Linked DNA regions of Neodiprion lecontei. The protein of the gene in region 2 purifies or fractionates together with the protein of the main gene of each other region. This does not show direct contact. Links are inferred from orthologs where the notes say so. Each region holds a gene or a part of one and is shown on either strand. Other genes may lie near its edges.

Region 1 (3,759 bases), on a different chromosome or scaffold from region 2:
TTTGCTCGTCGAATGACTTTCATTATACATTACGCCTGATAATTGACCACGGAGAATTCAGTTCAGTTCAGAATTCACATGTTATAAATACACAAGCATATTAAAATATAAAACTTGCTTATCTCAAATGACATATTTGCCAAACTTAACTTCTAATAAGTAAATAAATTACAAAGAAACAAAAGTGTACTTAAACTTACAAGCCTCTGGAGGCTGCAGATAAGAAAAATGACCCAGTTTGTGGAACACGGTAGTAATAATCGATATTCAACTTTATACGTGATAGTATAATATCACTCGTCCATGTCCACAACAGGAGAGATCTGCAAAAAAAAATGTTTGAAAGTAAAAGTAAAATACACAGTTGTTTACCCAGTTCTTGGATTAAGTTTTGAAACAACTGTACGACTCACGTAATATTCTACGTAACACGTGTGGCCATCTTCTGCTTTGACCTTGTACTGGAAACAAAGCAGCCCATATTTGTCTGTTCTTATTGACACAATAATAGCACAGGATAATGGTTTCATAGCTGGTTTGAAATGAGTTAGTTTATAACATGAACTGGCCGTTGTGCTGCACTGAAAACTTTCTATAAGGTTACTATCGCGAGGTACTTCGACTTGGCACTCTCCAGCTATTCCATCTGTACTTATTCTCAAGTATGGCGGTTCAGGTGATAGTAAAAGCTGAAAGAAAATTTTAACATTCATCAATCGCCCATTGAAGAAGACGTGGAAGTCTAGATTAGTTGGCTCGTGTTGATAGACTCAAGGATAAATAGATCGTATCACCTGAACCAAATGTTAGGAAAGGAGAAAAAAAATACTGTTCAACAAATCTCCAGCAATGTCATTCGTGGTAAGAATATTTAACACGAATGAAACGATATCTTTATCTATGTAATGGAAATCAATTTGCACAGATTTGAATTAAATAAGCCTAAATATAAACAATTTGAGACAAGGCTTTACAATTAGAATGATCAAACTCTGGTGTTTTTGATCCAATATTGATTATTGTTTTTTGGGATTATTTTGTTGACCATGAAAATCTCCAATCCACATAAAAACAGAGTTGTGTTTAGGTAGGGTATAACAAATGTTTGTCAAGAATTACATTTGTGCACTGTAACTTTACTACAATGTAAAATTTTGGGAATATTTTTTGACAATTTGTGGAAGTCTGGTCAGCGAGCAAAATGAAATTAAAAACATTAGAATCAGATCCAAAATTCTTGCGTTTAATTATTTTGAGCATTCTAATTATAAAATCCTTCCTAAAATTGTTGATATCGTAGTTTATGATACTGTAATCTGCTCGGATGTATATCTATTACAGAGTAAGAATGTTGTTGCATTGGTGTTCACCATCATTGGCACAAATTACATTATTGGAAATTGTTCAAATGGCTCTTTCTCTTTTCCCAGCTTTTGATTCAGATGATACGGCCTATTTGTCATTAATGAATTACCTCTATCACATCACAGGTTGGATCTAGTTCCGACAAAACATCTTTGAGTAAATCGGTTTTGAGTAATACTTTGTTCAATACATTATCTTGAGCAAGATTGAAATCCAATAGTTCATCTGGTTCTTGAGTCTTCAGCGAACAATCAGTCACTATACCGTTTTCTTCAATGAGTACAGTTACAGGATACCCAACACCCTGCAATTCAGATCGAGCTGTAATCTGATTTCGTTCTGAAGTGACAAACCTTATGTATTCACTTCTACCCACCCTATAAAATAATTGCAGAGCAACCGAGCTACCCTGAGTGTTTATTTCTCCCCAAAACATACACAGGCACTCGACTAATACTGACAAATTAATTCTGAATATCACATCCTCTTTCAAATTGAATTCTTCAAATATTTCTGTAGGAATATACGCACTTGCTTGCATACATTTTGCATCCTCAACCGTTACTTTCAGTCCATTGTATGTGCCAAAACATGTAGCGGTCTGAAATTTTTATGAATTACACCATTTGTTTCTAGCTGCATAGCTGAATGCTGTTATAAATTTCATCAAAAATAGCATGCACACCTCTTTGAAGTTGACCGCTTTCAGTAGTTGAACAACAGTCTTAAGATTTTTCAGCTTTGCAACTAATTGATAAATCGCAGTGTCTTGACTCATTTTGTCAAAATGTTACATGGAACCTCATCAAATCACGAAACAGCGGTGATGCAATTTCTTGTACAGAAAGTTTCTCGTTATCAACAGAAGATAGCCAAGCTGCTAAAATATGTTTACATGTATGTTCTGCTTGATCATTGAGAACACGATACCTGTAATGTATTTTTTATAATTAATATTTTTCAGCCCTTGAGTCAAAAAAGTTTCAGAAATTCGAAAGACTTAGCCAGTCTATTTATCTAATGGTATACCTGAATGATGCACAGCTGCAGAAATTAACTTCAGGAAATAATGTATATATTTCACCAGATATGCCTGTCACTTGCAATAGCCACCGAGCATCATTCACACTATTTCCTGGCTCAGATTTAACGCAAATCTTTTTTACTCTTGCCAATTCGTATAGCTCAAGAGCACGCTCAAAAGTTGAACCAAATATGCCGTAAAGTCGCAGCAACGATTCGTCAGAAACTAGCATTAAATAAATGGAATGAATTAAGTATGCAACCAAATAATATTGGGAGATTTGAACAGTACTTTTCAAAATTTTCATGGCTATTTCTCCCACGATAATATTAAAAGGAAATGTATCACAAATATGATGTACATTTATTTTCACTTGCAAACTTCTCATAGACTTCATGCAGGACCTGCTTTGATGCCAGCGATAAACTTGTGTCGGCCCCCTGAGGTTTGCTTTTACTTATAAAAAGTAACTTTGCATCCAAAGACATTTCATCATGCTCGTTGTTCAACAATTAATGACTGTTATGTTCGAATACAAAGCTTGCGAATTCAATAGCAACTGTGGGTATCAGTAAATGTGTTCAAAGATGAATGAGTCGCACCATCTGAATAAGTTAGGAAAAGAGAAAAATCTCCAGCAATGTCATGAACTCTGTGTTTATGATCTGATTCCAATATTTTTGAGCTTATTTTGTTGACCATAAAATCACTATGGTGGCTGTTTAACAGAAATCGTGGGAAAAGCATTCAAGAAATCTTACATTATGACATAGTATTAATGTGCAAATATAATTGTTGACGAGAATCTATTGTACTGTAAGTACACAAATTCAACATTTAACTAATTGCAAAATTTTCTTTAGGTAATCTCTGGAGATCTCTATTGTGAAGATAATAAGCCCAAAATCGTTGGATTGAGATAAAAAATATCACAGTGTTTAATCATTTTGCACGGTTTAATTTTTTTTTACGTTTGCATATTGTTGATGTCTTAGCTTGTTTTATTTCAATTTGCTCAAATTCATCTGTAATGCGCAGTAGGAATATTTTTTCATTCATCTTCACTATCACTGGAAAAAATAACATTGCTGGAGATGTTTCAAGACTTTTTTGACGTGGGGTATTCTGCGACCCCGGCAGTGTGCAGCGGTCAGGGTTGAGGCTAACACCCACTTCAGTTGAAGCAGAAAAAGAAATTTCCGACGAACGAACATTACTCTGATTGTGAGTAAAAGTATGTGAAAGTGACAGTTTTTTTAATTTTTTGTAAATATATGAATAAACTTCTTAAGGGTGTGCCCTCCTGGTCGATTTCGACGTTGACCAAATATCTCCACATATCAAAGTCTACATACATATCTTGCAAGAGA
Region 2 (3,759 bases):
GTATATGATAATGTATGATGTAAGATGATATGATATGATGTATAATGATTTTAGTTTTCACATTTCATACAAGAAATACGCACTTTATCTTTGCAGCAGATTCCATATTCAAGCGGCCAGGCCCTTCGATAGTCAGCCGTTGACTAAAGATATATTCTTCAGTTAACGGGTCAGCTAATAACGCTGCCGTTCTGCGGCAGTTGTATGATAAAAAATTTTGCTCACACCTTTCAAATGTGTGTTAAAATACACTTGAAGTTTTAAGCAGCTTCGTTCATTCTCTATCACCTTTTTAGGTCTTTAAATCAGGACACTGCGTTAAATACTGTCTCATATATGGAGTACCCATTTCATCTGGATCAAAATTAGCGCATCCGTGATGTATTACAGTTACTCTGAATTTTTTTCCATCCGAACGCTTTCCGAAAAACAATTCTGCGTCTCTACCCAACGTAGATACTTCACTTGCGACTAGCTGAAACAGCGTTTCGATTCTATGCCTACGAAGTTTCAAGATCGAGAGAGGAAATGAAAAGTTGTTGGAATAATTATGAATATTAATGTTATGGAATACATCGAGCGCGTGTCGAATAGAATCCCATTTCGAAATGAATTATTCTCCTATTTTCATATTATAGCCGTATTATTGTAGATAATCTAATTTGTCTCCTGGAAAATTATAAAATTTATAGTATGTATGCATTACGTATTAATCGTAAATGGATCATACAGTACGCTCTCATAATTTCACGTCTCACCCAGTTCTTGATAGCGAAGTCTTCCTCGTCTGGAGGGCACTATCAAAGTTAGCTTCAGAAAATTGTAATTCGCGGCGGAACTTCAAGCAAAGCGCTTAGTACCGACTTAGAGATATATGTATAGAGCGCAACACTGTAATGATTTATTTCGATTAAAACTAACTTTGGTTGATTATGAAAAATTTGTACAACGAATCTGTTTCTATGTCCTGCATGTTTTTTTTTTATTCACAATTTCACTTTGTGTAAAAAACCAACAGGCAGCTAAGGTTGTCCCTGGTCTGCGGGATCGGCGTTGTGTTTGGGTCATCAATCCAAGACTGGAAGTAGGAAGGCGACATTGTTATAGTAAAATCATCAAATTTATATAATCTTTATTTATTTAATATATAATAATAAATTAATAATTAATAATAAAATCAATTATTATTTTAATGATGATAATCGAAATTTATGACATTATTTTGTTAATGATATTATTACTATATTATGAATTTTGTGATGATGATGATGCCATGGAATACTGTATATTAGTACGATTAGTATATATCCTGTAGGTGCATTTCGGAACTAGCTGGCAGAGGTACCCACAAACTCGGCAGCACAAAAGACGTAACAGATGGTCGACAGTACTGGAAGCTAATTTCCCTGGAGCCTAGTAATTTCCGAACGCGCCTTATACATACATAGCTGTGCGGTTGGCAGCCTCTACTTCAAGTTCCGAAATGGCGGGTAAATGGTTTGGGAATAGCAAGAGTGAATAGTGGTTGGTTGCACGTATTGTGTTGCGGGACGAAAAATGCATTGTGTATACTGTGTGAATAATGAGATGTTGTTCAGAGCCACTTGATTGTGAAATTCTGCTCTTTTAAATTAATCCTTGCCTGAGAATACTCAACTTTCTCTAAGTTATCGAGTCAATATTGTCATAAGCCATGGGTATTTTGGGATTATCTAAATTGATCGCAGACGTCGCACCGTCGGCTGTAAAGGAAAAAGATATAAAGCACTATTTCGGTACGTAATATTAATATTAATATCAATAACAAAGTTCACACCGTTCCAGAAATATATTTTCAATTTACTTTGAATCCACTTGTTATACTCATACAATATTCTCTTTTAACCCTCACGAGGCGTACTATTGCGGCTTCCCGATTCACAATCAGTAAGCACATGGCTATGTCAATACCCGTGTGTCTTTAATCATTTATATATTACGATTTAAATAATCTATTTCAACTTTTTTTTTACAATTTAAAGATCAGACTGTGTAGAAAGAGATAGTGTTAACGGAATGATTATACAAAAAGAGTATTCTTGATATAACAGAAAGAACGAAAACGAATTCATTAAAGTTTGTCCAAATATAACTTCACCCCTGGGTATCTCAGTGCGCCTCTTGAGGGTTAAAATTAGTTTTGGTCTATCATATACAGCTCTTGATACCAACATCAATTTGTCGAATGGTTCAAGTTGCAAGTGTCATTTTGCCTATTAGTTGTATACTTTTGCAGGTCGTAAGATTGCCATTGATGCATCAATGTGTCTTTATCAGTTTCTCATTGCGGTGCGCAGCGAAGGGGCCCAGCTTACATCTATTGATGGCGAAACTACAAGGTATACCAGAAGTGTTGGTTTCTAATTTTCCTTCACAACGATAGCGGTTTTGTTAATGGGAAATTTGATGATTTAATTTAATATTGAACCAGGATTTTATCATAATTTATGTATGAATTTTTGTATTTAGATTTCATTTACCAATGTCTTTTTTTAAACCATATCTACTTGCACTACTCCATATTTGTTTCAGCTTTTCATTTTATTACTTATATTTATGAAAACCTCTCTCGTTCCATGTCTTTTTCCATGATTCTTACCAGGTAACAGATACCGGCAATTTGGCTCGTAAATCATATCTACTTTGTGGTTTTGGACATAAGATACAACTTTTTATGAAAAAACCCTATTGACGGCATAAAAAAGGCCAAACTTACTTGAATTACAGTCACAAATTCTAGACCCGCAACTTTTTGTTGAAGCAGATTTTTGTAATTATTATCAACACAACAGTTGCAACGATGTCTTTATTGGGAGTATCGTGATTTAAATTAATATTGCAAGATGAAAATTCAGTTTATTAGCTAATTTTCGTAGCTGACAAAAATTTAAATCGTATATTAATTATTAAAGTATTTTTTAATTTGTGCATGTAGTCCGACAATATTTAATTAAATCATTTGAATGATATTTACAGTCACTTGATGGGTATATTCTACAGAACGTTGCGCTTTATAGAACAGGGTATAAAGCCTGTTTATGTATTTGATGGTAAACCACCAAACTTGAAAGGTGGGGAATTGGCAAAACGTGCGGAGAAGAGAGATGAGGCGCAGAAAGCCTTAGAAGTTGCTGAAGCAGCTGGTAATCTAAATAGATTCCATCCTTTGACATTTTCTGTGCTTTAAAAAATGATTTATTGGGATACTAGGCCGCCATAGCTTATGTCATTTATCTTGTCAAATAGGAAATACTGAGGATATTCAAAAATTCAACAGAAGGCTAGTTAAAGTTACGAAGCAACATGCCGAAGATTCTAAACAACTCTTAAAGCTGATGGGTGTTCCATATATTGATGTAAGATTCTCATACATATAGCAATCTCAGAGCTCATTCAATTTTTAAGAGAGGTTTGGCGACTTTTATACTTTTCAACAGTCATGTAAAGTACAGTTACTATGAGTATCAGGATGGTTTTTAAAGATTTTCACGTTTCTAGTGGTATAAGTGGTGTGGTACAAAAAATTCCATACCACCTATTACAGAAAATTATGACGAATTCATACAGAATGTAACATATAGTTTTTGTTTGTTGAAGCAGAATTTAGGTGGAACAGTAAGAATTACCTCAACAAACTTTGTATTTTCTTTGCATTTGGCACTAGACAGAAACAAACATATGTGTATATTACAGTGGTTCACCATATAAAAAAATTTTTTT

The links. The genes of interacting proteins can lie anywhere in the genome.
Region 1: the proteins of flap endonuclease 1 (region 2) and cell cycle checkpoint protein RAD1 purify together in Homo sapiens (affinity purification with western blotting; 3 studies listed by BioGRID). This does not show direct contact. The link is inferred for Neodiprion lecontei from reciprocal best matches to the Homo sapiens genes FEN1 and RAD1.

What each region holds. Positions count from the first base shown.
Region 1 is NC_060261.1:15,314,627-15,318,385, forward strand, and holds the start of cell cycle checkpoint protein RAD1, read right to left. Parts: upstream 2,278-3,759; 5' UTR 2,144-2,277; coding exon 2,051-2,143; intron 1,967-2,050; coding exon 1,742-1,966; intron 1,670-1,741; coding exon 1,475-1,669; intron 690-1,474; coding exon 414-689; intron 324-413; coding exon 294-323; 3' UTR 1-293. UniProt on the Homo sapiens protein: Component of the 9-1-1 cell-cycle checkpoint response complex that plays a major role in DNA repair. The 9-1-1 complex is recruited to DNA lesion upon damage by the RAD17-replication factor C (RFC) clamp loader complex.
Region 2 is NC_060262.1:23,979,509-23,983,267, reverse strand, and holds the start of flap endonuclease 1, read left to right. Parts: upstream 1-1,480; 5' UTR 1,481-1,693; coding exon 1,694-1,775; intron 1,776-2,275; coding exon 2,276-2,378; intron 2,379-3,015; coding exon 3,016-3,182; intron 3,183-3,285; coding exon 3,286-3,395; intron 3,396-3,759. UniProt on the Homo sapiens protein: Structure-specific nuclease with 5'-flap endonuclease and 5'-3' exonuclease activities involved in DNA replication and repair.